Linked DNA regions of Cricetulus griseus. The protein of the gene in region 1 interacts with the protein of each later gene in a pairwise test. Links are inferred from orthologs where the notes say so. Each region holds a gene or a part of one and is shown in the gene's direction. Other genes may lie near its edges.

Evidence for each region.
Region 2: the proteins of synphilin-1 (region 1) and Nub1 interact in a two-hybrid assay, tested with the Homo sapiens proteins (2 studies listed by BioGRID). The link is inferred for Cricetulus griseus from reciprocal best matches to the Homo sapiens genes SNCAIP and NUB1.

What each region holds. Positions count from the first base shown.
Region 1 is NC_048595.1:185,754,818-185,770,101, reverse strand, and holds part of synphilin-1, read left to right. Parts: intron 1-8,327; coding exon 8,328-9,196; intron 9,197-11,048; coding exon 11,049-11,228; intron 11,229-15,284. UniProt on the Homo sapiens protein: Isoform 2 inhibits the ubiquitin ligase activity of SIAH1 and inhibits proteasomal degradation of target proteins. Isoform 2 inhibits autoubiquitination and proteasomal degradation of SIAH1, and thereby increases cellular levels of SIAH.
Region 2 is NC_048601.1:97,823,288-97,838,571, reverse strand, and holds part of Nub1 (NEDD8 ultimate buster 1), read left to right. Parts: intron 1-3,867; coding exon 3,868-3,985; intron 3,986-5,682; coding exon 5,683-5,850; intron 5,851-8,644; coding exon 8,645-8,703; intron 8,704-9,507; coding exon 9,508-9,578; intron 9,579-12,725; coding exon 12,726-12,908; intron 12,909-13,069; coding exon 13,070-13,158; intron 13,159-14,326; coding exon 14,327-14,433; intron 14,434-15,284. UniProt on the Homo sapiens protein: Specific down-regulator of the NEDD8 conjugation system. Recruits NEDD8, UBD, and their conjugates to the proteasome for degradation. Isoform 1 promotes the degradation of NEDD8 more efficiently than isoform 2.

The sequences.
Region 1 (15,284 bases):
CTTATAAATGAAATAAGCTGGCATTTTAGGAGATGTTAAGTAGAAAGTATGTATTTTCTAAACACACCACACACACACACACACACACACACACACACGCACACACACACACGCAAACACACACGCACCTACCTTACCCCAATTCCCTGCTCTGTCTGCCCTTAGGAAGGAGCAGTCATAACTGTGCGCTTTGTCCTTGGCAGTAGGTCGGTGCTGTAAAACATCGCCACCTTCAGTTAGAAGAGGTTAGTGTGTGCCTTGCCCATCAGAAAGCACGTTCGGGTTACTACTCCCAAGCAGTCTTTTTCCAAGTGTCTCAGCTTGAAGAGTCTTTTCATTGGCATTTCCCTGTGTTTCTTCGTACAATTCCACAGGGTGAAAGAGAAGGGAGGAGGGGAGAGAAGGAACCTAGTAAATCGGCCTGGAATGAACACAAACTTAATCTGCTCGCAAGGTTTTGTTAATGTCACAGTGAAAGCCAGAATACTTTTTGCATGACAGAATAGCTCTGAAAGCATGTGTTTTCTTCAGACCTACCAATTGCCATTCTGAGTAAACTGTACTTTTGAAACCTAAGGATTTAAACTTGTCCAAACACTTAGTCTGACTTCATGATAGACTACACCTCTTTGGTGAAGATCTATCTTTTCTATCCAGGTTTATAGGGCTTGAATATTTCAGTGAGTTTTCACAGAACAAAGAAACAGGCAGAGATCAGCTGCGGAGTTATCTGAGCAAGCCTGCATAGCTATGGACAGAGCTGAGAGCAATAAAACATGAACCTGACATGTTCAACAACAGCTGCTTGGTACCAGTGGCCTTTTAAAGACAGGAGGCTTAAGACCCAAATCGATGACATTTTCCTCACAGCATGTGGATAGATCAATGAGTGGAATGTTTGTAAGAATGAAGTCATGCGTATTTCCCCTTCAACCTCAGGATACCATCAATAAAGGGTCTGTGGTATCAGTGAAAGGGATAAGCCAGCAAGCCCATTGGAACATTCCAGAAGCTTGTGTTCCATTTACACACATCACTCTTCCCAGCATAATGTCCTGACACAATTCTCCAAAGCTAGCATTCATTCAGCCATCCCTGAGATCAGGTTGCAGACTAACTTTGAATGGCAGTGCAAAAGGTCACCCTGATTGTAGTTCCCATTCAGACTCAGGCACATACCTCCTTCTTCTTGTCATGAGGGGACAAAAGCCACTTGTCATCACTTCTTAGAGATCCTAAGGTGTTTGTATTCCATGGGTCCACTACAGATTTCATTTGACCAATGGTAACAAAACTCAAGACTCTAGCATGGAAGGGGCTAGAAATGTGCTTGCCTACTGTGTGCCCAGCCTTGCGTTTGATCTACAGCACGACATAAACTGAACGCTTTTGGTGACTTATTATTGCAACATTCAAGAAGTGAAAGCAGGAGGATCAGAAGCATGCGGTTATCCTTGGCTACACAGCAAGTTCAAGGACAGCCTGGGCTACATGAGACCCTTCATTAAAGAAATAGTTTAAGGAGATAGAATGCTGGAGGACATGTAGGGTGTATTTCTCAATGTAGGTTGTTATGGATATGTAGTCTGTTACGTATACTTAAAAAAATTGAACTGACCCGTTTGTTTCTCACAGAAAGGAGAAACCATTTAACTTGACATAATCCTTTTTTTCTCTTCTCACTGTCCCATCCTAATTTTCTAATATGCACACAGCTCTCCATATTTAGAAGTAAAATAAATGGGCATTTTAGGAGCCAATATTGATGTTTAGTCTTAAAAGTTGGGTCTACCATGACAACAGCAAACGGTCCATTATCTTCTTAAAGAAAACAATTTATCAAGCCTAGGAGCCAGATTGTGTCAGCAATCATCTCAGCCTCATAATTATAAATTTGTGAGGATCTGGTAAAATGCATGAATCCAAAAGAATTATAGTGTTTCACTGTGAGTCAGAATCAAGAACCCTGTTATTTTTGACATTCTACATCATCAGAGATATTTATGGAGGGTCAGATCTTAGCAATGATATTGTCTAACCTTGTTATTTTCCAGATGAAAAAGAACTTTTTTTATTTTTTGTTTTTTTAAGACAGGGTTTCTCTGTGTTTCCCTTGCTGTCCTGGAACTCACTCTGTAGACTAGACTGGCCTCAAACTCAGAGATCCACCTGCCTCTATCTCCCAAGTGCTGGGAATAAAGGCATGCTCCACCACCCAGCAAGAACTTCTTTCTTTTAATTATTTTTACATTTGATTTTCTTTTTTTCAGATTTTTTTATTTGAATTAGAAACACGATTGTTTTACATGACAATCCCAGTTCCCTTCTCCCTCCCGTCCTCCCCCCTCCCCTACCACGCCCCCCAACTAAAACCCTACCTATCACATATCCTTTCTTCTATTCTTCCCATGACTCAACCTTTCTGCTCCCTCATGTCCTCTGCATTCTTCCTCTTCTTCCCTTCTCATTCTCATAGCTCCCTCCCCCCTCTTCCTGTGCTTTCAATTTGCTCAGGAGATCTTGTCCCTTTCCCCTTCTCCAGGGGACCATGTATGTCTCTCTTAGGGTCCTCCTTGTTTACTAGCTTCTCTGGCAGTGTGGATTGTAGGCTGGTAATCCTTTATTCTATATCTAAAATCCACATATGAGTGAGTACTTATCATGTTTGTCTTTTTGTGATTGGGTTACCTTGCTCAGAATGGTTTCTTCGAGTTCCATCCATTTTCCTGCAAATTTCAAGCTTCCATTGTTTTTTTCCGCTGAGTAGTACTCCATTGTGTAAATGTACCACATTTTCTCTATCCATTCATCAGTAGAGGGGCATCTAGGCTGCTTCCAGTTTCTGGCTATTACAAGTAGTGCTGCTATGAACATCGTTGAACAGATGTCCTTGTTGTATGAATGTGCTTGTTTTGGGGTATATGCCTAAAAGTGGAATTATTGGATCTCGTGGTAGACTGATTCCTATTTTCTTGAGAAGTTGCCATACTGATTTCCAAAGTAGCTGTACAAGTTGGCACTCCCACCAGCAGTGAAGTGTTCCCCTTTCTCCACATCCTCTCCAGCATAAACTGTCATTGGTGTTTTTGATTTTGGCCATTCTGACAGAGTAAGATGGTATCTCAGAGTTGTTTTGATTCAACAAGAACTTCTTAAGAGGATATATTAAAGTACTTCTCTATGCAGCAAGCCTTCTAACTGTCCAAGCCATTTGAATAACTTATTATCTTTCAAATTCTTGCCTCAGTTTAGCCCCCCAAAATGGACTCATTGTAACAAAACTTAATTATTTATTATATTTTGCATTTTTGGTTCAATGTATCCCCTTTACTCACTCATGGAAAGACTGGGTCACAGAACCCCATTGTCTTTGAGGATCTTTCCTAGACCATGAGCTGGTTACAAGCAGAAGTAGCTTCTCGAGGGACCCTCAGGAGAAAGTGAGGTTGGTGTACCACTTTCAGACTTGCTACAGGCATATCTCCAGGGAACTGAGAAGCAAAGAGCAGCTATTCCCTGGGAGAGTCAGAAGAAGTGGCTCAACAGGGCAACACTGGATGACTCATGTGTGCTGAGCATGAGTCACAGGCAGAGACAACAGCAAGGGATTTCTAGAAAAGTCAGAACAGGCCCAAAGGTAAGAACCATGATAGATGGCCATAGCATATCCAGAAAGATTGGACTGAGCAATAGAGGAGAAGGAAACAGCAGGGGTTTGGGAATCATGAATGCTGTAAAAAGAAGGTAAATTATAAAGTGAACAAAAGAAACACTGCAGACCATGCTAAAGAATTTTGTTAGGAACAAAACAAAAACTAAAACCAACAACAAAAACAAACAAACAAACAAAACAGTGTCCACAAACCCTGCTACTTAAGTAATATTATAAATTATGTTTTATACCCCAAAATCCCTTTTTTATTTTAAATATAAATAATGTATGCTATTATTTATAAAACATATTTTTACAGCACTTTACTTTTAAGTATATTTGTTTTTTAGAAGAAGCTGTTATGCTGTAAACAGAAAACCAGTATACTTGAAATGAATCCTAGGACATCATTGAAATGTGATGAACATAAAAACCTCCAGTTAATTCATTGCTTATGAAATCCACTGACCCTGAAACTTGAAGTCTGTTTACTAAAGGATATTCTAAAATTTGGAGTGGGATTAAATCCTAGCACCAAACTAAGACTCCTTAAACAAATGAGGCGAAAGAAGACTGAACACTGAATAGTTTTCTCACACAGTAAATGAGGTGTGTTTATCATGGGTCCTCGGGTGTGTCTGACCCAGTGGGGATATGCATCCCATACCAGTGTCATTTTAGGAAGTATGGGACACCTAAGGTTTGGAAGCTAATTTTGGGTGGCAAAGTCAATCTTACCCAAAGAGGGATTAATTGGACTAGAAAGAGAGACCAATGGGAGACAAGAAACCAGTGTGTGATGGTTATGGAAAAGGATCCCAGTGTAACCAGTTAATATAGTGAGGATATGGAAAATGGTCCAGATTCAAGCGTGATTTGGGATAAAGCCACAAACTTTTGTCTGAGCAATGTGAAGCAGGGACCAAGAGAATAGAGGGACAGACAATGCCTTAAGTGAATGACTTAAGAGACTATATAAATGACACTGTGGTTGTTTAAGCCAGGATCAAGAGGATAGTGAGGGGGCTTGAGGAAGGGAAAGAGTAGAAAAAGACAGAGGTGGAGAGAGTCAGACCCCTGAATCCAGATGCATTGCCATTCAGAGAACTTTGCATATTCTAGATGCGAATTACTGCTTGTTGGGAACATGGCTGACTTTTGACGGTTATGTGATAACTGAAATTCCTTTGCTAGTGCTCAAATGCCAGCTAGATGATAGGAGACTATTTTGCCTATAAATGATCATCGTGAACATCCAGCTCACTACTGATGGTTTTAAAATTTTGTGACTTCATCAGGTAGACAAATTGAAGGCACACTAAACATATTTACTGTCCTAAGATGTTAAAGGTGAATGCAGCTAAAAGCAAAACATCATTAAGAACCTTCTTAGGTAAGCAATCTGCTGGGAGTTTTGAAGAATAGAGAGCTAAATTAGGCACAGACATTGTTTTCATAGAACTCATAAAGACTAAGATAAAAATTCTTCAGAAACTTAAATTATGTTCATGTGTCAAGAATTTGTACATAATAGCTAGTGAAAAAAATCTAGCCTCAAAAATCTCCCAGTAGCCATAGTTAGTGTGAAATTTGTTCCCATGGATGACTAGAATGTTGTGATGGTACTGGAGCAAAACAACAATAAAGTGAATTTAGTGGTACTCTTAAAGAATTGAAATGGAAAGTCTTGTCTGCCATTAATAATCTTTTATGCTGTGTATTTGCCCAGCTTAGGAAAAATAAATGAATGTTTGTGTTTTGTTTGCTGCATTTCTGCCCATCCAAATATGTGACATGGCAACAAATTTGAGCATTCTCATGAAACCCATTAGTTCATTTTTCATAAGCAGGTTTCCCCCCTTGGTAATCAAGACAGGCTAGAGGGCACAGATTTCATCCTAAGCCCACAAATCAGCCATAGGCTTGAATGAGGAAAAAGACAACATTCCCAAATATTGATGCTCCTTCTCCAGTTTCTAGACCTTTCTGTGGAAAGAAGTGTTTTCATAAAACATAGACAGAATTCATTTACATAGAGCACTCTTAATGGCTCCTGTCAGAACAGAACAGCTGGAAAACATATGGTACCCATTTCCCTGTATCACTTGGAAAAAAGTTCACATGTAAATAAAGCCACCATAAAAGAATAGCCTTTTTGAACCTGTGACCTTATATAATACATAAATATATCAGTAGAGGACACTGGTTGCATTGACCCAGTAAGTCATGTGGCTTTAAATATTTTTAATACAGTCTAAGATTCATAGTTCTTATGAGCTCCAAAGAAATCAAGGTAATTGACAAAATATCAGCAGATACCATGCCAAACAATAAGTATGTGTCTTAGAATGTCTATAAATAGGTTTTCCCACAATATTTATAGATTTGGAGAAAGTTAGTAAAATCAAATGCCTATTTACCCCTTTTAAGCTCCATGTCTTGTCTCCCTATTGTTTTATGTGAAATAGGCACTGTATGCTCTTAAGGCAGAGAGAATGGCTTGGCAGAAATTTCTGGCAAATGATAACTTTTCATAGCTTTGCATTTCTAGAAAGACAAGAACATATAAAAGAAAATTTTTACATTTATACGGAATTGATTGGAATAATTAGCCTTTGCCTTTGCATATTGACATTTCATAAATGACTTTAAAGAATCTAGCTTCTTCTGGCGATTATCACTCCTTTGGGTTTATTACGGGAACTTATTTCCCCCTGTGAAATTAAGCTGTAAATCCCTCAGAAGGATTCACTTTATGCATGTTAAAAGATCAAATGAGTTGTGCAAAGTGAGATTCAAGTTCACATACTTGTGTCTGTTAATTGTCTGCTGCAGGCCAAGCTTTGTGTACAGCTCAGAACTCGAGACAAAACAGTGTGGGTAAGAGAAGCAGGAGGCCATCTAGATGCCTTCCTTCTCCTGAGTATCCCTTGCTTTATGTTGCTCATTGAGAAGAAACTAATCCTCCCCCTATAAATTTTAGAAGCTTTTTGCTTCTAAAGGTTGAGAGTCAGAAAAGCCTCCGGGGTGAACTGTGCAGTACAGACCTTCTGAACCCTATACCACATTGTCAACCATTTGGAGAACAGAACTTAGGATTTTATGGTAGGCAGGCTCAGGACACTATATGCTTTATTTCATAACTTCTCTGAATGCTTTTAGGACACATCTCAGAATAAACAATGACTAGAAACACAAATTTAGGGAACTCTTTAACTGTAAGAATAAGTCATTACCAAGGATATTATAAAAGTTACAAACCTTAGCCGGGCGGTGGTGGCGCACGCCTTTAGTCCCAGCACTCGGGAGGCAGAGGCAGGCAGATCTCTGTGAGTTCGAGACCAGCCTGGTCTACAAGAGCTAGTTTCAGAACAGTCTCCAAAGCCACAGAGAAATCCTATCTTGGATGGGGTGAAGGTTACAAACCTGAGCACTTGTGCTGTCTCAGAGTCTCTCGCCCTTTGGCTGTGCCCAACAGCAAAGACAGGTAGATTTGCTTACTCTGGGATGAAACTTTCCCAACTGCATTTGTTTCATAGGATAGAGGATAGTTGGAAGAAAGCTTTGTCTGCCTTACGAAAGATGATAGAAACCTATAAAGTAGCCTGCTAGTCTGTGACAATGCTGGGTCATCTGCCTTCTAGTAAAGGAGTGTCTCAGACAAAACAGAGCCGTGCTGTGGGGACAGCCACTCTGAGACATGCTACCAGCATCTTGATTGTATTCAGGCTTCTTAGAAGAGGTTGTGGTTGTTATCTTTTATCTCCAAATGTGTCTGACTACTTCACTGTCCATCTCAACCACCTGAATGTAGGCTAGCATGCAATCTTTATTTTAACTGCACAAAAATGAGATAAATTGAAAAAAGGCAAGTTTGAGTACTAGTCTGCTTTCCCTATCTGACCTTCCTGCCTCCCCTTGCTCTTGTTTCTACCTTTCCCAACATGGAGGGTGGTGTCACTCTAAAGAGCATGTTGTTGTCAAATGGAAATGTGTTGTGTTGTGTCATAGGTTGAGAAGCACCAGGAGATGGCCCAGCATGATGGTTGTCTAAGATGCTTAGTATAGAATGGGTCGACTCAACCATGGCCTGCCTCCCATGGACAGACGAGCGCCTGACCACTTTATGCTTTTCTTTGCTGTCGCTAACCATAAAATGGAAAACTATCAAGTCACATAGTAGGTCACAATTTGAGTTTGTAGAAGATAAGTTATGTTTTCTTCCATGAATGCATGGATGTCTTACAAATTAGAGATATGTGTACAGGCTAGTACATGCTTTTGCAAGTGTATTGTGCAAATATATCATTGTTCACTGCTTGGTTTGGAAACCCATCCCTGTTCTGTTTTGGTTTTGTTTCAGGGTGGTGACAAACATGTAAATAGTACCAGAGATGCTGAGCCATAAACTATCTGTCAGGGTTTATTTAACTTTCTGCTTTTATCACTATTGCTACTTCAGTTAGTTCTGGGTCATTATATCATGACTATCTCATCTTTCTCTGCCTTGCAGTGGTAAATATGAAGCATTAGTTTTATGGATATATGTCCCTTCGTGCTTTATTCCCTTACACAGGGGCCTACTGTGAACATAACGTAAGTGAGCCATGTCTACCTACGTGGCCAAACTGTATTCAGTTCTAATTTAATAGTCTCCTCTATTATTTTTTAACAGTTTCTAGCTCTAGCTGGAATTGTGGTGTCTCAACTCTCATTACAAACCCACAAAAGCCCACTGGAATCGCTGATGTATACAGCAAGTTCCGCCCAGTGAAGCGAGTTTCTCCACTGAAACATCAGCCAGAGACTCTGGAAAACAATGAAAATGATGACCAAAAGAACAGTACAGTAGAATACCAGAAAGGGGGGGAGACTGACCAGGGCTCCCAGCCTGAGGAACTCAACCCTGAAGATGGAGTCAGGGGCTTGCCAGGTAAGGGCTCTGAGCCCAGCCAGGCACTGGGTGAGCTGGAGCATTATGACCTTGACATGGACGAAATTCTGGATGTGCCTTACATTAAATCCAGTCAACAGCTGGCCCCACTGACCAAGGTGACTTCTGAAAAAAGAATTTTGGGTTTATGCACAACCATCAACGGCCTTTCTGGTAAAGCCTGCCCTATTGGAAGCACTGAGAACTCCACAGTCAACATGACTCCATTTTGTGTTCTTTCCCCTGTGAAAAGCCCTCACTTAAGGAAAGCATCGACTACCCTCCGGGACCAGAACAAGCTCTCCACAGAAGACTCTGAGAACTCCCCTGTTCTGGGTAAATGTGTCCCTGCATATGAGTCAGAAAACCACAGTAAAGACTTCCTAAACAAGGCCTTTAGTGATCCCCATAGTCGAAAAATCGAGAAGACCGGGCCAGACTGCAAGCTCAGGGCCTTCCACCTGCCATCCTCAGCAGCAGGGGCCAAAGCAGAAGAGCAGGTCAATGGCATGAACTGGACCAATGCCCAAGGCACAGAAGAAAGGAATGAATACCTGAAGAAAGTAAGAAGTATAGTGAACATTGTGAAAGAAGGCCAGATATCACTCTTGGTGAGTATTGTCTGTCTGTCTTTAGACTCCATCTTATAACAGGATGAGTTTTGCTTCATGTCTTTCTGTGAAGTTTTTTTTTTTTTTAATTAGTTCTTTGAGAACTTCCTAAAACATGTTTTCTTCACTCCCCTTGTTTTGTTTCTTACTGAATCTTGTTGCTTTAAGGCGTGAGTTTTAAACGTTAAATTTAGGGGGTTAATTCACAGGACACAAATGGCTCCAGAAGACTGTTAGTGCAGTTTAACATCGTCTGACCTCAGCTGGAATAACGACGTTTAATCTAAAAGGAAAACAAAACAAAGAGCCAGCACTGTTTTCCAGATGACTTGTAATGCCTTTTTTTTTTTTTTTTTTTTTTTTTTTGCTTTGCTTTTCAAATGGTTCCCCATGCTCTCCCTCCATTTCTGTGAGGATGTCAGTTTTTAGCTGATGGCAGACCTGCCAGATCTGTGAACAGAGAGTTCTCTGTTTCACCCTGATCATTATTCAGGAGAGTTGGGCTGGGGGGTTGGAAAACATTTGCAGATACAGCTTCCCCTAGAGTTTGATTGTTCTCTGACACACACACACAGGGTTTTTGCTTTGCTCCAGCATGTCACCAAAGATTCCAGACACAGAGTTACTTGATATAAGAAGTATCTATTGAGGAAAGCTCAGCTGAAACAGCATTCCATCTGCTGCACTGTTCTTTTCTAGTTCCTAGACACTGGTCAAATAGTACCAACCTTGGGCTCATAATGTGAGGATAATTAAAGTCTCATTCAGGAAACTCACGGCATCGAGGCATCATGATTCCCCAAAATGTGAAGCATGCACAGATAAACTATAACATATTGGGACTGGCATTGCAAACAGGACAATATGATTGAATGATTTTACCAAGTGAAGCCACAACTTTGTTTTTCTCTTGCAAATGTCTTTTCCATTTTTCCTGGCTGTTCCCTCTGACTCTCTTTGGTTAATTCTTTCTCTTTGCCTCACATAGTCAGAAGTCCCTAATGCTAATACCATTCAGTTTACCCAAAATATTCTATCAAAACTTCATACTGTGAGGACTGAATTTCACTAGAGACAGAAAAAAAAACAAAAAACAAAAAACAGCCAAAGAACCAAGTTTCCTCCAGATATCCCAGATACCCCTGGGAGTCACTGGCTTGTCTAGAGGTTCCTGTGGATGCTCTGGTAGCCACAGCCTTTAGGTAACATGTAGAGGCAGCGAGCCTTACAAGTCAACCCCCCCAAACAAGTACTTCATTCATGCAACAAACCTCCAACAGTCAATAAAGCATAGCCCTGTCCCTCAAGAACTTAGCGGTACAGTGACAGAGACAGAGAAGCTGTTGCTTGCCATCAGTGTCACCTCAGAGACCTAAAAATCCAACTAGAAACCTTCGCAGCTCATCGGTCCTAGCCCTGTGACCCTTTTTCACAAAACCATTTGTCCCTTGAGAGCACATGTTCTAAAGCAGAGATTCTCAACCTTCCTAATGCTGGGACCCCCTTGATTCAGTTTGCGGTGACCCCCCAACCATAAAATTATTTTCCTTGTTACTTCGTAGCTATGATTTTGCTGCTGTTATGAACTATAATTTAAATATCTGCGTTTTCTGATGGTAAAAGGGCCATTCAACCCCCAAAGGGGTCATGACCCACAGGTTGAGAACCACTAGTCCAAAATCACTGTTCTAAATCATGTTGCAAGAAAGACAAATAGCAAGGAACTCTGACTAACTAGAGGCTTTCTATGCCACCAGGGCCCTTGTGAGCTGTTCCTCCTTCCCTTCCAAAGGAGAACCTCCTTTGTGTCCTGTTTTGACTTACTGATTGAAGCCTCCCCCTCTCTGTACAGCCACACCTAGCTGCAGACAATCTGGACAAAATCCACGATGAGAATGGAAACAATCTGTTACATGTCGCAGCGTCCAAGGGGCACGCAGAGTGTCTACAGCACCTCACGTCTCTGATGGGTGAAGACTGCCTCAATGAAAGGAACACAGAGCAGCTGACTCCAGCTGGCCTGGCCATCAAGGTGACCTCCTGGGGGCTGAGCTGTCCCGGGTTTTGTCTTTGGATTTGATCTCCGGTTTTTCAGATTTCTTGTGAGCTAGGCTATTGAAAGGGGGAGAGGAGAGAGTGAGGCATTAAGCAAACAGAAAATGAATGTATCGTATGTAAGAAGTTAATCACTTCAGTCACTACCACCTGAGATTTTAATGGCACTCCACCTTGTTATCTAATAAGGATAATTTCCAAATCAACCCACAAAGAAAGAAGATGACCCCCGGCAGGGCTGAGAATTCTGTTACTCATGGTGATTGCAATTCGGATTCTTACCCACACCTGGATCTCTCAGGAACTGTGTCAATTTTTCCTAACATGGGAATAAGAAACAAGAATTAGATCAAGGTGTGCTGGTAAAGGAGGCTAGCTAGCACTTAGGAGTTTCTGAAAATAATGTGGGCTTTTATTGAATCAAATCTGAGTTTAAATGTCATCAGCATTAAAACTGTTTACAGCATCATCGAGGATCCTGTATTTAGTTCTCCAAAATAGCACAATGTGCTATCTGTCAAAGTGTATGCAAATCAATGCCAACTGGGATGGAGTTAAAACCTGGACCATAACACAAGTAAACAGGGACCTTTATACCACTGTGGTAAGAGTGTCTGGCGATTGACCGAGTCACGTGAGGTTAGCTATTAAACTAAAATAGCTGTTTGGATCTTTGGCAGATAAATGTAGAATTCAGTCATACTTACTAAGAAGCCAGAAGTGAAGTTCAGAGAAATAGAATACATCTTGTACTTCTGCATATAGACTGCTTTACACGATAGCTGGATCTCCTAAAAGCCAAATGTATCATTTTTATAAATGAAATTGCATAAGTGTTGAATACGAGAACCAGCTAGCTGAAGAAACATACTAGTGAACTAACTAAGAAACACATTACATTTTTAAAATAGTAAGTTTCTATCTTATCACAATATGTCTTGCACATAAAGCTGATTTTTAACTTTAATGCATTTATTAATCAGTAAAGTTTATATGTTAAAAATATTGTTTTATTTCATTTTGTTCCCTAGTAAGTATGACTTTATGACAAAATTTTCATAGTAAATATTTTGTTACAAAGAAATCTCTGATGCTGGGGAATATATTTTTCTCTGGTTGTGAATAAGGCCATGTCAGATCAGAGTTTACTACAGCCCATGTGAAAAAAGAGAAACTGAATTCAAAGGAAAAAAAACTCGTCTCAGTACAGTTGAGTTCAGTGTGTGCTGAAGCAAACAGCTACTGTGTTATTGGGTGCTGCAGGTAAAAATTTAAATAAGACATAGTACCTATTCCTAAAGAGCTGATAGACCTAGTGACTAAATCAGGAACCTTGGTTACTGGTAATGACTGTGTCAGATAGTTAAGTCATCATCTACTCCTCTGACACAGTCCAGTGAGATGACTGGGTATAGTGTGGTTATCCATGGGCATATGTCAGTGATAAATATCCTTATAATGCCAGTCAATGTGGGCATCTGCCATATTTAAAGAATGGCTTAGGGTTTATGAAATGTAATTCTCATTAGTTTTCCAAACTAATGGTAGATGGTTGAATATTTCCTCATTATATAATTGAATGGAAGCATATTTTTTCTTAATTGACATACCTTACTGCTTCCTTTGGGTAGATTAAAAATTTTAGAGCATGAAGGTTCATAAGAAACTTAGTAGCCATTAAGCCAATCCTCAGTGTGAACAGCTTCCATGCTACCTACACATGAAGACTTATTTTATTCCTAAACTTCAGCCACCACAGTACAGCCATCACCAACAGATCTGCAGGTTTACATGGCAATTTCTGTTTTAATTTGAAGGAAACACATACACAAATACACACAGACACACACAGACACACAGACACACACATACACACACACAGACACACACACACACACACACACACAAACACACACACAGACACACACATACACACACACAGACACACACATACACACACACACACACACACACACACACACACACACACACACAAACACACACACCTAAAATGCACAAGGCTAAAGAGCTCTTTCAGATTTGGGGACTTGGGCTTCTGAATTATTTCAGTGTTCTTTGTATTTCATCATTCTAATTGCATTGACAAAAAGGCAGCAAGTACAATTGTTTCGTACGAGCACCTCTCCCCTCACAGGTATGTATGACCCGATGCCTGCAGCTCATTCAGTGTGCTTTGATTGACACCGATGAAATTGAGAGTCCTAAGAAGTCTTAAGAAGTTTCCAGCTTTAGTATCTTGTTTTGAACACAGACAGCAACTGATAGTATTTCACCACATTAGACAGTTCTAAGAGGGGCTGGAGAGATGGCTACAAGCACTTGCTGCTCTTGAAGAGGACCAGACTTTGGTCCCCATCACCCACTTGGTAGCTCATAGCTGACTGTAACTCCTGCCCCTGGGGATCTAAGTGTAGCTGCAGTGGATCTGATGCCCTCTTCTGTCCTCCAAGAGCATCAGCATGCATGTGCTTGTAAGTAAAACTGAAAAAATAAAACACCGCTGAGAGCCCTGCTGCCTGACATTAAAGACAAACGTACTTGGGACAAGTGACCCAAGTTTCTTGCAGAGTGTGCCTCAGCTGACCGAAAGCATCCAGAGACAAAATGAAGAACATCATTTCCTCATTCTCAAACTCTTTAAACAGAGGATAATAAATAATTATTCTCATTACATTGCATGACAGCCTTTATTGAGGGTTTTCCAGGAGACTCAAGAGTGGCTGCTTTGGGAGTTTGTGTCCTTTGGAAATAGCTAAACAAAGTCACTTCGAAGAAAGAATTCTGGAAGGTCTGATTTCTAACACAGTCTGTTTTCTAAAATAGAATTGGCAGGAGGAATTATTTTAGGACCTGAACAAACTCGGGTTGAAATAAACCAAGTTCCTTTTTTGTTTTGTTAACTTCTCCTTTGGTCATTCTGATTAGGCCCAAAGGCAAAGTGTTGATCTGGTGATAACACACCCTTTCAGACATTCGTTTTTTGATAACATGATGTCACAAACACACTTACATAAATTATTTTTTATATAACATGATGTCACACATTCCCTTACAGACATTCTTAAAAAAAAAAAAAAAAAACTCAAATAACTCTAAACCCAGAGACTTGGGGAGGCAACTGTATCCTGCTGGAACTTAATTTTTTTTGTTGATTTGTGTTCCTGTTACTTGAATTTAAAGCAAGTTATTTTGGTTTCAAATTCAGGGAAGTAATATTTCCTTCTGTTCTTTGATACATTTTATTGTTTAAATGCCACCCCTTTGATTCACCAGACCTAAAATTCGTCTACAAGAACTGCCTCCCACAACCCTTGAATATAGCCACTTGTCAAGGGCGCAGAAAACATTTCCTAGGATACAGTCTATATGGTCTATATGGGGTTATATTAACAAACCCAACAAATTGTGAAGGATTGAAAAATATTCCTATACACTTCATCCATCATGAAATGCAATTAGAAACCAACAACAGAAGGAAACATGGGCTATTTACAAGTGTGAGAAATTAGTCCATCCTAAAACAGTCAGTGGGACAGAAAAGTCAAAGGAAATTGAAAATGATGGCAGCTGACAAAGAAAGAGAAATAAGCAAGCCACTGTCTTCATAGGCAGGGCCTACAGCTGCACTTAGAGGGAGGTATGTGAAGGAGGTGGGCAGGGAGAAAGATTAAGAGAGACACCTTAGGAACTGCAGAAGTAAGACAAACCTAATCCAAAGCCAAGGACAGAAAGGAAACAGCAGTACTGAAATCGGAAATACATGCAACAGACAATATAACAGTAGAGCAAACCCAATTTGGTTTTAAGAAAAGGTAAGAAGAGAAAACCCTCAATGTAGTTAGAATAACCAGAAAGAGAGAAAGAGGAGAGGAGGTGTCTTTCTTTACGGAAACTACAGGCATGGCCTCACATTTCTGTGTTCTGTGTAAATGGTATTTATTTATACAAACTGTCTTGCCCCTTGCATGATCAAGATTGTCTCATTTGCTTCTTCATTCAGAGAGAATATTTA
Region 2 (15,284 bases), on another chromosome or scaffold:
CCTCTATGTAGGATGGGCTCCCAAGGTCCATTTGTGCACTAGGGATAAATACGGATCCACTAACAGAGACCCCAGACCTCCAAACTGACATCCTTGTTCAAGGGGTCTGGATCAGTTCTATGCTGGTTTCCCAGCTATCAGCCTGGGGTCCATGAGCTCCCCCTTGTTCAGGTCAGCTGTTTCTGTGGGTTTCTCCAGCCTGGTCTTGACCCCTTTGCTCATCACTCCTCCCTCTCTGCAACTGGATTCCAGAGTTCAGCTCAGTGTTTAGCTGTGGGTGTCTGCTTCTACTGGATGAAGGCTCTAGGATGGCATATAAGGTAGTCATCAATCTCATTATTGGAGAGGGGCTTTTAAGGTAGCCTCTCAACTATTGCTTAGATTGTTTTTGCTTTTTGTTTTTTTTTTAAGATTTTATTTATTATGTATACAGTCTTCTGCCTTCATGCCAGCAGAGGGCACAAGATCTTGTTCAAGGTGGTTGTAAGCCACCATGTGGTTGCGGGGGAATTGAACTCAGGACCTCTGGAAGAACAGTCTAGTGCTCTTAACCTCTGAGCCATCTCTCCAACCCTATTGCTTAGATTGTTAGTTGGGGTCAACCTTGTAGATCTTTGGACATTTCCCTAGTGCCAGATTTCTCTTTAAGCCTATAATGGCTCCCTCTATTATGGTTTCTCTTTTCTTGCTCTCTATTCTTCCCCTAACTCCCTCTCCCCTTCCCCCATGCTCCCAATTAGCTGAGGAGATCTTGTCCCTTTTCCCTTCTCCAGGGGACTGTGTATGTCTCTCTCAGGGTCCTCCTTGTTTCCTAGCTTCTCTGGCAGTGTGGATTCTAGGCTGGTAATCCTTTACTCTATGTCTAAATCCGAATATGAGTGAGTACATACCATGTTTGTCTTTTTGTGAGTGTGTGAGGGGGTGGGTTTTTTTTTTTGTTTTTGTTTTTGTTTTGTTTTGGTTTTGGTTTTTGGAGACAGTGTTTCTCTGTATTGCTTTGGAGCCTGTCCTGGAACTCTCTAGACCAGGCTGGCTTCAAACTTACAGAGATCAGCCTGCCTCTGCCTCTGCTTCCTGAGTGCTGGGATTAAAGGGGTGTGCCACCCAAGCCTGGCTCTGATTTAATTTTTTAAACATTAAACTAGGCTTAGTAGCTCACGCCTTTAATCCCAGCACAGTTGAATCTCTGAGTTCAAGGCCATCCTAGTCTACATAGTGAGTTCCAGGACAGCCATAACTAAGTAGTGATACCCTGTGTGCTGGTTGGTTTTGTGTCAACTTGACATAAGCTAGAGTCTTCAAGAGAGAAAGGAGCCTCAATTGAGGAAATGCCTTCATGAGATCCAGCAGTAATGCATTTTCACTATTAATGATAAATGGGAGAGGGTCCAGTCCATTGTGGGTGGTACCAATTCCTGAGCTGGTGATCCTGGGTTCTATATGAAAGCAGGTTGAGCAAACCATGGGAAGCAAACCAGTATTAACACCCCTCCATGGCCTCTGCATCAGCTCCTGCCTCCAGGTTCTAGCCCTGTTTGAGTTCCTGTCCTGACTTCCTTCAATAATGAACAGCAATATGGAAGTGTAACCTAAATAAGCGCTTTTCTTCCCAACTTACTTTGTGGCCATGTTGTTTCATCAAAGTAATAGAAACCCTAACTAAGACACTGTGTCTCAGAAAAAAATTTTATGTTATACAGACCTGGCAGCAGTATTGGAACATAGATGAGGGTTGTGATAACCTTGTCTCCTTTTGTCAGACAGTGGACTGGTTACAGTCTGGAAAGCTGTTTTCAACCTTTTAAATAGCTGGGTGCCGGTAAATTATCTCTGCCACCCTCCTTATGAGGTTCAGTGATTTTTTTTGGGGGGGGGTGAGACAGGGTTTCTCTGGCTTTGGAGGCTGTCCTGGAACTAGCTCTTGTAGATCAGGCTGGTTTTGAACTCACAGAGATCCGCCAGTCTCTGCCTTCTGAGTGTTGGAATGCAGTGATCTTTTTCTCAGAATTTTTGTAGATTTCAGTTCTGTGTCTGGTGAGTTAAGTGGCTGTGTTTGCAAAGCAGATGCTTCTAAGTGCTGATGTGTCTTGCTGTGAGGATCGGTTTGTGAGTGACTAAAACATACACAGCACACTCACTATTCTTTCCATTCACCGCCCTGACAACCTGTTTCTTTTAGACAGATCTGAGCATTCTTTTAAAAGGAATAATGCTATATCACCTCCTGGACGATGTTCAGGAGGCTGTAGAATATTAGCCCTCCATAGGGGAAAAAATAAACATTTAAGTGATATCCATCCATCCATTTTCCACTCTGAAATTCATGTTCATTTATAAGGGGTGAGTACTTCTCCTTTGTTTGACTTGGCAAACCTTGAAACACTCACTACACTTCCCAGTTGCCGCTAGCTCTCAGCAGCCTCACCCACCCCTTGGAATAGCTGTGCTGGTGTGGGATACCACCATAACTCCCTCCTCTGTAGAAAAGAGAAGGTGCATGCTGAGGACAGGCAGCAAGAGATTGTGAGACAAAGTTCGGATGTGGGCAGATGTCCCATGCCAGTCCTGGCACTGGCTCATGATGTGGTTTTACAAACCTAGGGCCTGGGCTTTCCCAGTTGTAAAATGATCTGGCCACTGTTAGATTGAATAATAGAGTGGATGTGCTATTGTGTGCTCAGAAGTGCCAGTGAAAACGAAAACAGTAAACCTTATGAGCCAGGTGTGGTGGCTCATGCCTGTCATCCAAGCACTGTCAAGCTAAGGCTTTGAGCTTCAGGGCAGCCTGGGCTACAGAGTAAGACCTTGTCTCAAAACAAAAATAAAACAACAAGTGAAATAGTGGTAGTGTTGTAAGTTTTTAAATTTTATTTAGTTTTTGAGAGGCTGGCCCAGAACTCACATTGCCTCCACCTCCCAAAAACTTAAAGGTGTGCATCACCACGCTTAGCTAACTCTTTAATTTCCAAAGTTCAACTATATAGACATTTATTATTGATAGTTCATAGTTCAAACTAGCTTTTCTTTCTTTGTGCTTAATTGCCAGAGAGCTTCGTCTTTGGTTTAGAGTTAAAGCAGTCAAAGTGTGAGAGAATTTACAAGCTATATATTGTGTTGCTTAAAATAATATCTTTTTGCCGGGTGTTGGTGGTGCACACCTTTAATCCCAGCACTCGGGAGGCAGAGGCAGGTGGATCTCTGTGAGTTCCAGGCCAGGATGGGCTCCAAAGCTACATAGAGAAACCCTGTCTCGAAACCGCCCCCCCCCAAAAAAAAATTCTTTTTTTAATGTGGATGTGTGTTCTGCCTGTATGTATGTCTGTATTCCAGAAAAGGCTCTTGGCTCCTCTGAAACTAAAGTTACAAATGGTTGTAAGCTGCCTTGTGGGTTCTGGGAAGAGCAGCCAATACTCTAACCCTTGAGCTGTCTGGCCAGCCCCTTAACTTGTCTTTCTGAGAATAACAGGGTAAGAAATGGCCAGTAGGGCACAGACCTAGCATGGGTAATATCCTGGTTTGTTCCCTCCTTGCACAGAAAACAGGAGCGTAAACTACTCCTTGCTACATATTAGCAAGTTTGAAATAGACATTTTAAGCTAAGTATGGTAACATATGCCTTTAGTCCCAGCACTAGGGAGCCGATGGCTGCTGGAAACCCTTACTGGGGGTGGGGTTGGGGGAACCAAAAGAACAACAAAAGAAACATTTTATATCGACTTACATGTAATTAGATACAGTAGTTTAGGTTAAACTGACAGGCACAGAGGGGAACTCCACTTACTTTGCAGAACACCTCCGTAGATTAGGTAATATGTAAAGCATTTTAAACTGTGATGTGATTTATTGATTTACAGTTTTACTTTCAAGGATGGCACAGAAGAAATATCTTCAAGCAAAATTGACCCAGTTTCTAAGGGAAGATAGAATTCAACTTTGGAAACCTCCATATACTGATGAAAATAAAGAAGTTGGTTTGGCCTTAAAGGTATTTTTCTTTTAATATGTAATGTAAATCTTTTGCAATGTCATAACTCCCTTAGTAAATACTAGTCTGGAGTCCCCAGAAATTATCAGGCACAGCTGTGAAAATTTTTAGAAGCACTAAAACCTTTAGTAAAGAACAAATTTAATTTTTAATTTTTAAAAATTTAATTTAATTTTTTTCAGCACTAAAGGTAGAACCCAGGGCTTCACACATGCTAGGCAAGCTCTTTACCACCAAGCCACACCCCCAGTCCTATTATTGGCATTTCATTCTCTTTCTTTTGGTTTTCGAGACAGGGTTTCTCTGTGGCTTTGGAGGCTGTCCTGGAACTAGCTCTCTTGAACTCAGAGATCCGCCTGCCTCTGCCTCCCCAGTGCTGGGATTAAAGGCGTGAGCCACCAACGCCTGGCTGAGATCCTATCTCAAAGAATATATTTTTAAAAATATAGTAAATATCATTGATATTGGTATATTCTTCCCATCTTCTCCTAATGACTATTTAAAATGTATTATGAGTAGGAGTTTGTCACACACACACCACAAAACCAAGGGACTGGAGAGATGGCTCAGTGGTTAAGAACACTAGCTGGTCTTCCAAAAGCACTGAGTTCAATTCCCAGCAACCACATGATGGCTCACAACCATCTTTTCTGGCCTGCAGGGATACATGCAGGCAGAACACTGTATACATAATAAATAAATAAATCTTTAAAAAACAAAGCAGTGGGCGTGGTGGCTCATGCCTTTAATCCCAGCACTGGGAAGGCAGAGGCAGGTGGATCTCTGAGTACGAGGCCAGCCTGGTCTATAAGAGCTAGTTCCAGGACAGCCTCTAAAGCCACAAAGAAACCCTGTCTCGAAAAACCTAAATAAATAAATAAACAAATATTTTTTTAAAAAATAAGCAAAACGAAAAAACCTAACCAAATAAAAAAGGTTATTTAATCTGTCTTGATCTCATACAGTTTGAAAAATTAGAATTTTTTGCTTTAAATTTTTTCCCATCCAATGACAATGAATAGTTCACTGTTTTAAAAAGATTTTTATATTTATTTCATGTGTGAGTATTTTTAGTGCATGTATGCACCACATGTGTGATTGGTGCCCTTGGAAGTCAGAAAGAGGGAAGACATTGGATCCCCTGGCACTGGAGTTACAGATGGTGGTGAGCTACCCTATGGGTGTGAGGAGCTGAACCCAGGTCTCCTGCAAGCTACAAATGCTCTGAATCCCTGAGCCGTCTCTCCAGCCTCCACAACTTAAAAAAGTAGTTGTGTGTGTGTTTGTGCATGTACACACAAGTTAGAAGTCAATTTGGAACTTGATTCTCTCCCATCATGTAGGGCCCAGAAACTGAACTCAAGGCAACAGGCGTGGCTGCAGGTGCCTTTACTTGTTGAGCCATCTCAGTGGCCCTGGTTCACTGCTCCTTAAAGTACTTTCTAATATATTAAGGCCATAAGGGTCTCAGCCCTCCTTTCTGTCCCCCGGAATAATCCCAGTTACTCTCATTTTGCTACGGAAATGTTTACTATTTGTAAGTGCTTTAATTTCTCCCTGAATCCTCCCTGGGAGCTGAGATTGAATTTCAGTATGAGGGGGCCTCCGCTTGTCAGTTACGTTGCTTTGGGGAGTTTTTTCTTTCCGTATTTTTGCACTGGAGCTCTGGGGAGCTGCAGCCTGGTCTCTCCTCCCAGGACCTTGTTAAGAAGTACTCTGACCGCCTCGAGTGCTGTGAAGATGAAGTGGAGAACGCAATAGAAGAGATCCGCTGCAAAGCAGTTGAGCGCGGCACAGGGAATGAGCACTACCGAGCAACCGGGATTGCCACAATCGAGGTGTTCCTGCCTCCCAGACTCAGGAGGGTGAGTAACGCCCGCTGCACATGTCCTGCTGTAATTGAGTTGTTGGTTTGTTCGGTTTGGCTTTTTGAGACAGGGTCTCTCTGTGTGGTCCTGCTGTCCTGGAACTTCATATACAGACCCGATGACTTTGAATTCCCAGGGCCTACTCTGTCTGTGCTTCCCACGTGCTAGGGCTAGAGCATGTGCCACAGTGCCCAGTGAGCGCTTGTTTCTGTAAATCTGCCAGAGAGTGCTTAAGGAACTGCAGGTGTTGAATGGTGATGATACATTTAAGGTAGCTTGTTCTTTAAAACATCAGTCACAGAAGTGGGGGGCATGGTAGTGCCGTTGTAATCTCACCAGGGAGACTGAGGCAGGGTTATCCTCAGCTACACAGTGAGCTCAAGGCCAGTCCATGGGCCAGTGAGATGGCTTAGCAGGTAAAGGCTTTTGTCATCAAGCCTAATGACTGGGATGTGTTCCTCAGAACCCAAACGGTAGAAGGAGAACTGACTCCTACAAGTTGTCTTATGATCACAAGTGCTCCATGGTGTGATAGTGCTAAATTAATAAATGTAACTTCAAAAAATTAAAAAAAAAACCATGTACAGAGCTGTGTGTTTGTACCTTTTCTAGTTTAATGATTACAGATACTGAGAAGTAGGGCTGGAGAGATGGCTCAGAGGTTAAGAACACTGGCTGTTCTTCCAGAGGACCTAGGTTCAGTTCTCAGCCCTCACAGTACAGCTCACAGCCATCTTTAACTCCAGTCCCGGGGTGGTCCAATGCCCTCTTCTAGCTTCCTTGGGCATCACACACACATGATACACAGACATACATGGAGGGAAACACCTGTACAAGTAAAATAAACGTGACGGGAAATAAATTTTAAGAAGTCAAAGTAGACAGCAGGTTTTAGAGTCCTATGTTGCAGGACACTCCCTGAAGAAGTCCTATTCTGATGGATGGACCGTAGTCAGCTAAGTGCTGAACAGGACTAGCCCCTTGTCACAGGGCCTCATCCTCAGGTAGTACGTGTCAGCATGTTTTCCTGGCAAGCACTTTACAGCCTTCTCAGAACCAAACAATGTTGACCATTTTCAAAATTTGTATGTGGGCAGGTGAGATGGTTCAGCAGTTAAAATGCTTGCCAGAAAGCCTGTTGATGTCATTGGGATTCCCCGGCATCCACATTAAAGGCAGGAGAGAACTGCGACCACAGCCCTGTCCTCTGATCTTCACAGGCGTGCCATGGCACACCCACATGTCCTCTCTGCCCCAACACGCGCGCGCACGCGCGCACACACACACACTTTTTTTCAAAGGCAGGAAAAAACAACGCATGTTACAAAACAGTAAAAGTGCCTGCCATGCAAGCATGAGGACTTAAGTTCAGATCCCTAGAATCCATGTAAAAAGCCAGGTGTGTAAGGGTTCCTGTAACTCAACCCCTGAGTGTTATAGGCTTACAGGGATGTGGATGGATCCCTGAAGCTCACTGGCCAGTGAATCAATGAGAGACTCTATTTGGGAGGGGAAAAAAAAAAAGAACTCTGAGTTCAAGGCTAGTCTGGTCTACAATTTAAGTTCCGGAGAGTCAGGGCTACACAGAGAAACCATATCTCAAAGAAACCAAAAAAAAAAAAAAAAAAAAAAAAAGAAAGAAAGAAAGAAAGAAAGAAAAGAAAAGGGAAGGGAAGGGTAGATAGTAATCAGGGCACCTGTCACCAGTCTCTGGATCTCACACACATCACACATGTGCACTCCCAATAACACATGAAACGCAAGAATAAACTGACTGGTGAGCATTCACAGTAGCACCACTCATGATGGCTGAGAGGGAGAAGCCTAACTGCCATCAGTGGATGTGTGGATAAACAGATACACCCACGCCACAGAAGACAGCTGGTGGCACAGATACACAACACAACACTAATAGTCTGCAATATGAGCCACCTCAGAAACGTGCAGAAAAGGCCTGACGCTCTGTGGTCTCCTTCAGTGAAGAGTCCAAAATAGACAACTTTGTAGACAACTTTTCTATTTTGTCCAAAATAGAAAAGAAATGGTTGCAAGGCTGGGAAGAAGAGGGATGGGGTGTAGGGCATGGTACCTGGTGATAGGTGGTGAGTGGGGAATGTTCAGAAATTCTATTAAACATTTCATTGTCTTAGGATTTTTTTAAAAGATTTTATTTATTTATTATGTATACAATATTCTTCTTCCATGTATATCTGCACACCAGAAGAGGGCACCAGATCTCATAACGGATGGTTGTGAGCCACCATGTGGTTGCTGGGAATTGAACTCAGGACCTCTGGAAGAGCAGTCAGTGCTCTTAACTTCTCTCCAGCCCTGTCTTAAGATTTTATTTGTATTTTTAATTATATATAAGTATGTGTCTCTGGGTTTGTGCATGTAAACAAAAGTGCCCCCAGAGGCCAAGAGTAAATTAAATTAGATCCTCAGGGTGGATTATAGTCAGGTGTGAGCTGCTCGAGTGGATGTTGGGAAGTGAGCTCAGGTCCTCTAAAAGAAGTATATGCTCTTACCACTGAGCCATCCCTCCAGTGTCATGCACTTTGATGATGATGGCTGGCCATGTGACAAGTCCCACTGAGCACTCAAGGGGTACTCAGGTCACTCTGTCAGTCTGTGCTGGACTGTGTTTATGCTTCTCTGTACAGGCAGTGGTTTGTCCTTAAGTAGAACCCGAGTTTACATCCTGTCACAGTACCCTACAACCTTACATGCAGGGTAGCAGTCCAAAGAAGTGTCACACTCAAGTACATTTAGTTTTGTCTTTTTTCAACAGGACAAGAAAAGTTTATTGGAGACCCGCTTACATGTCACTGGTAGAGACCTGAGGTCTAAGTGAGTATCTGAGCTATGTTTCCCAACAGGTTTGCCCCTCTTACCCTGGTTCATTGAATGCTCTCAAGCTGTCCTGTAAGCGAGGGAGCCAGCCTGTTTTCCTCTTACAGCTGAAGAAATGAAACCTGGAGGGTGGGACAAGAAAGAGGTCATTCTGGGTTCACACACTGCTAGGTAAGAGGCAACACGGCTGCCTGAGTGAGACCTGCTCATGGCTGCCTGAGTGAGACCTGCTCATGGCTGCCTGAGTGAGACCTGCTCATGGGAGCTTCTTGGATGCAGTGCAGCTTTTAGAGGGGTTCAGCTTGGGGCCCACAGAGGAGGTGCCCAACTTGTACCTGAGTGAGTAACTGAGGAATAGAAGCAGGAGCCATCTTTTCACTGAACAGAGCATGTTTTATAATTCCATTCTTTTTTAGCACTAATTGTTTGCTGTGACCTTCATTCAGCAAAGGCCAGTCAACCCAAGTGTTCTGTTGGAGAATGAGGAAGCATCACTCATTCAATGCCCACAAGTAGGCAGTGGTATGGGACAGTTGCAGGGTTCTCAGAGGATGCTGGGAGAGTGTGACTCAGATGGACATCCTCAGCTCAGATACAAGTTTAGAAAGAGCTTGGCTCACTCAGCTCCCAGCAGCTGCCACTGCACCAGCTTTATTGTAGTCGTGTTTACAGGTCAATAGGTGAATAGCCTGGGTGTTTCTAAGTAAAAACCTATTAAGTGGCCATCATGATCCAAGTCTTCATAGTAGGTAACAAATAACAGATTTGCTTCCTGCAGCTTATACTGTGTTTATTTTATAGAATAGCCGAAACTTTTGGATTTCAAGAAAATTACATCAAGATCGTAATAAATAAGAAACAACTTCAACTAGGTATGTCATAGCAAAGAATGCATCTGATGTATAAGTAGTGACTTTCCATTTTTTTGTATTTTTTTCTTGCTTTTCCTCTATTGAAAACTTCCTGGCCATGTTGCATTTATTATCCAAAGTCAATTAATGTTAAAAGTTTACCATAATGAAGATGTAAAGCAGAAAAGGACATTACAATAAATATTCACAGGCCTGCTCTGGGTAGTGGGGAAGAAAGACATTGATTTCAGCCACAAGAATATTCCAGAATGGAAGTCTGTGCTGAGAGGAGGATCTGGGTTACTCAGTTCTCTCTATGACCCTGAGAGAGACGGGTGGACAGGCCAGGTTGGAACACTCTGCGGACAGCCAAGGAAACTGAGTGTAGGGTAGAGGCCTTTCTGAATGTAGAGAGCAAATGGGCCATGGGAGTCTTCCGGCAGTGAGTCTCTGCCGGGGAAGACAGTTTCACCTTCCAAGGGACAGCTGACTTTGTGAGGAGACGATTTTGATTATAATTAGTTGGGGGTGGGGGCTGCACGCCTATCAGTGGCTGCCAAATGCAAGACAGTCCCCATCACCTCACAAAAGCCCCACGTCACAGGTATCTGCCCCAGATGGTGAGTGCTGCTGAGAAGCCTGCGACAATGAGCTTTGTTCAGTATGGAGTTTGTCCTCAGAGAGATGGGGGTCACTGATACTGCAGAGTGCACACAGGGACATTGTGGCTTACAGACCACTGGCTGCAATCTGCAGGAGGCATGAGTGGAAGCCGAGATACATTATCTCTTTAGCAGCTCAGGTGGTTCATGAGGGCTCATGGATCTCCAGGGGAAGTCCCTAGAACCCTAAGTTTCATCTTTCTTTCTTTCTTTCTTTCTTTCTTTCTTTCTTTCTTTCTTTCTTTCTTTCTTTCTTTCTCTCTCCCTTCCTTCCTTCCTTCCTTCCTTCCTTCCTTCCTTCCTTCCTTCCTTCTTCCTTTCTTCCCTTCTTTCTTTCTTCCTTTTTCTTTCACTTTTCAAGACAGGATTTCCCTGTGTAGCCCTGAACTCAGAAATCCACCCACCTCTGCCTCCTGAGTGCTGGGGTAATCGCCTATGCCACCACCGCCCGCCTGATGGCCCAGTTTCTATTGTAGCACCATGTGGCAGCTCACAATCAATAGCTCAGTTCCACAACATCCAATGGCACGTTGGTATCCCTGCACTCATGCAGGCAAAATACTCATTTACACCAAGTAAAATAAGTCTAAAAAATTGAAAAGAATAATGTGAAGAAGCTGTTAAGGAAGACACTGGATGACCTGTGACCTTCACACCCATCCCCCACAAAAATCTAGTCAGGTGGGCTGGGTGGCCCACACCTTTAATCCCAGCACTCTGGAGGTAGAGGCGGGCAGATCTCTGATTTCAAGGCCAGCCTGGTCTGCAGAGTGACTGCCAGGGCAGCCAGCACTACACAAACCCTGTCTTGAAAAAAAAAAAAACCAACAAAATCTAGTCAGGTGACTTTTCCTCTTGCCACCTCCTTTGTCCAGGTGGATCTTGCTTTTTGTATTTGAATGGTAGAATGGTTGTCATTTCTGAAAAAGAAACACAAGAAGAGGAACACTGCGCAAGTGTGCAAAGGAGGAAGTGCAGGAAGGCTGGAGCCCTCATAAACCACCAGCTGTTTGTAGGGGACTCTGGAAGGAAACCCAAGCTGATTCTCAGCTTTCAGGGATAAAGGAAGCTGTCGGTGTCCATCTTTGCGGACTTACCTTCTCTTTTGCTATGTTTATTTTTTAAGCTTTTTAAAGGATTACTTATTTATGTATATGAGTGCTCTGTCCTCCTGTAGGGCTGCTGGACAGACAAGGGCATCAGGTCCCATTACTGATGGTTCTGAGCCTTGTGGGTTCTGGGAATTGAATTCAGGACCTCTGGAAGAGCAACCAGTGCTTTTAACCACTGAGCCACCTCTCTGCCCTCAACATCATTTTTACTAGGTTTTTCTGTAGTGTTTGGCTAACCTATTCACTGGACTAGCTATTTCCCCTTGTTGTGTTTCATGGTTTCTGTTCTTGTCTTTATTTCTACTCATTACACGAGGAAATGCATCCTAGGGAAGCAGCAGCTGAGTCAGGTCCATGGGGTGGAAGGCAGGCACCTGTGGCCTGAGTCAGGTCCATGGGGTGGAAGGCAGGCACCTGTGGCCTGAGTCAGGTCCATGGGGTGGAAGGCAGGAACCTGTGGCCTCTGCTTTTCACCATCACAAGAGCTGGCCTCACTGTTGATACTGCACTGTGGCTTCTTGAGTTAGTTATTTCTCAACTAGAGACTGGCAAAGTTTGTATATTGGCTACACTTTTGTTTTCCTTTTATGCTGCCTGGCATAGTACTTGTTACTTCAGTAGGGTGAAGAGAAAGAAAATAAGAAAAGAGTAAATGTGGCCTACTGGTCTCCAAGTGTGAATGCAGGTTTTAGAATTCCATTTTCCAGGCTGGTGAAGTGTTTCCGTGGGTAAACAACACTGGCTACAGAGCCTGATACCCGAGTTTGGTCCTCGGATCCCAAATGATAGAAGCAGAAAAGTGGCTCCTGCAAGTTGTATACACACACACACACACACACTCACACTCTCACACACACTCACGCTCACACACACACACACACACACACTCACACTCTCACACACACTCACACACACACTCACACACACACACACACTCACACACACACACACTCACACACACTCACACACACACACACTCACACTCACACACACTCACACACACACTCACACACACACACACTCACACACTCACACACACACACACACACTCACACACTCACACACACACACACACTCACTCTCACACACACACTCACACACACACTCACACACACACACTCACACACACACACTCTCACACACACACACACACTCACACTCTCACACACACACACACACTCACACTCTCACACACACTCACGCTCACACACACACACAGTCACACACACTCACACACACTCACACACACACTCACACACACACACTCACACACACACTCACACTCACATACACACACTCAAAATAAATTAATAAATAAAAAAGGACTCCATTTACTGTAGGAAATGGACTGTTGCCCAGGAAGTGTGTGTGACAGGCAATTATGCTGTTCCCAGGGAAAACCCTTGAAGAACAAGGAGTGACTCACAACGTAAAGGCGATGGTGCTAGAGTTGAAGCAGTCTGAAGAGGATGTGAGGAAAAGCTCCCAGGTGGAGGAAGAGGAGCAGAATGAGGCTGAGCTGAAGGAGAAACGCATTCAGAGGACCAAAAGGGGGTTGGAGATCCTGGCAGAGAGAGGTGCATAGAATTCTGGCTTGTCCCCTCCCTCAGACACATCAAGTCAGCTCACAGAGCGTACCTGCTTCTCGTGGAGTGCTCCACAGTATGGCATCTCAAGTGTTGTCACGGTCACTGCTGTTCAACCATGAGTTAATGAGACTCCTATGGCTTTGTTGCAGCGGAGATGGTGGATCCGGAAACGATGCCTTACTTAGACATTGCAAACCAGACGGGCAGGTCCATCAGAATTCCCCCTGCCGAAAGGAAAGTAAGTACAGGTGTGGGAGGCTTGCTGGGTTGTCAGAACAGATCAGACAGATGTAGTCAGTCCCAGAAAATTCTTAGAATGAAGAGTTCTGACTAGGGATCAAGGTAATTTGAGGTTTTTTGGTTTTGTTTGTATCTTTTTGGTATTTAAATGACAATTTGGGGGTAGGCTTCACTATTTGAATTAATCTGAATTAAGAGCTGGGTGGTCAACTGGGGAGGCTGGAAGCCAAACCCTCATTTAGTACACAGCCTAAGCTATCCTAACCTTTTGAAAATGGATATGCGGGGCCTGATTGGTGGCTCAGCAGTGAAGAGCACTGGCTACTCTTCCAGAGGTCCTGAGTTCAATTCCCAGCAACCACATGGTGGCTCACAACCATCTGTAATGAGATCAGGCAGAACACTGTATCCATAATAAGAAAGTGAATTTGGAGGGCCCAGATGGCTTAGCAGGTGAAGGTGCTTGCTGTCAGGTATAAGCTCCATCTCAAGAGCCTGCATGGAAAGAAGACTCCTGAAAGCTGTCCTGTGACCTCCACTCACATGCTGTGGCACAAATGTGTATGTGAGCGTGAGCACGCTCTCACAAATACAAATAAATGTAAAACTGTTATCTTGGAAATGCTGGCATTGTCAAATATTTCAGAAGTGTGATGGTACTGCCTGTGAAGGTGGAGGATGGGAGAGACCCCAAATCAAAAACAAAACCACAGCCAAAAATGAGTGTGTGATAGGGTATATCACACACTGTTTGGACTGTCTTGCTACTTAGCTCAGGCTGGCCTCCACCTGACAGTCTCCTCCTTCAGGTTCTCACAGGTTGGTCCATGCTGCCATACCTGTACACTCCTTAGAAAGGCTGTAATAGTTACTAGATGTTCATCCTGTCTAGTCTTGTGGAAAACTAGAATTAGATCTAGACCAGCAGATGGGTAAAAACAACTACAACAAAAAATACCCTGGAGGAGTTGATGCTACTCTGTGACGTCAGCCACATTGACTTGAGAGTCTAGCTTCAGGGCTTCAGTGAGAGAAAGCTCTAATTATAACAGTTAATTGTTTTTTGCCTTGTTTTCATTAGAGCTAATATGATTTTTAATTTGTTTTATGAATGCTTTTCTAATTTTGTTTGAAAGCTGTTTTTAAGATCCCACATTCTTTCCTAGGCCCTTATGCTAGCTATGGGATACCATGAGAAGGGCAGAGCTTTTCTGAAGAGAAAAGAGTACGGCATAGCCTTGCCATGCCTTCTGGATGCTGACAGGTATTTCTGGTAGGTACTTTTGTATTCAGCAGGCACTAGTGTAAGGGGGAAGCCCAGTCTATAACTCCAGACTGATTTTCACCCCACAGCAGTTGCTAGGAATGAGGAGTTAAGGCACACACCAGTTTGTGGGTGTCTCCTCCTTTGTATTTCTAACCGACCCCTCCCCTCCACCCATTCATTTTGACCCTAGTATACAGGCTCTGCACCCCCCCCCAGTATGCTGCCACCAGAGCTGTTCACCACACTGCTCCTCTCTTCTTCCAAGTGGTGTCGGTGCAATGGTGATGAACTGCACTGCACTGCACACTGCAGACTGGCGCTCTTGCTCTTCTGTGGTCTCATGAGCTGTCATTTATGCTGAGGTGCAGTGTTCTCAGGAAGAAAGCCAAATGCCTGGCTCCTTTTGTGTTATTTTGTAGTTTTCAGATTTTGTTGGTTCCTCAAAGGTGACCAAACTGAGGTTTGCTTTTTTTTTTTTTTTTTTTTTTTTAAGCTTTATTATGTATACAGTGCATGCATACACACCAGAAGAGGGCACCAGATCTCATCATAGATGGTTGTGAGCCACCATGTGGTTGCTGGGAATTGATCTCAGGACCTCTGGAGGAGCAGCCAGTGCTCTCAACCTCTGAGCCATCTCTCCAGCGCCCCCCCCCCTTTTTTAAAAAAAAATAAATTCATTGGTATTAACTGGTGAAGCCAGGAGTGAATTCCTCCTATCTCAGTACTTGAGAGGTTGAGGCATAAGTTATAGGCCAGTTTGGGCTACCCTGCAAGCCCTTGTCTTCAGGGGATGGACCCACGCACTCGCACACTCACACACACACACACACACTTTTTTAACATGGGCTTTAACA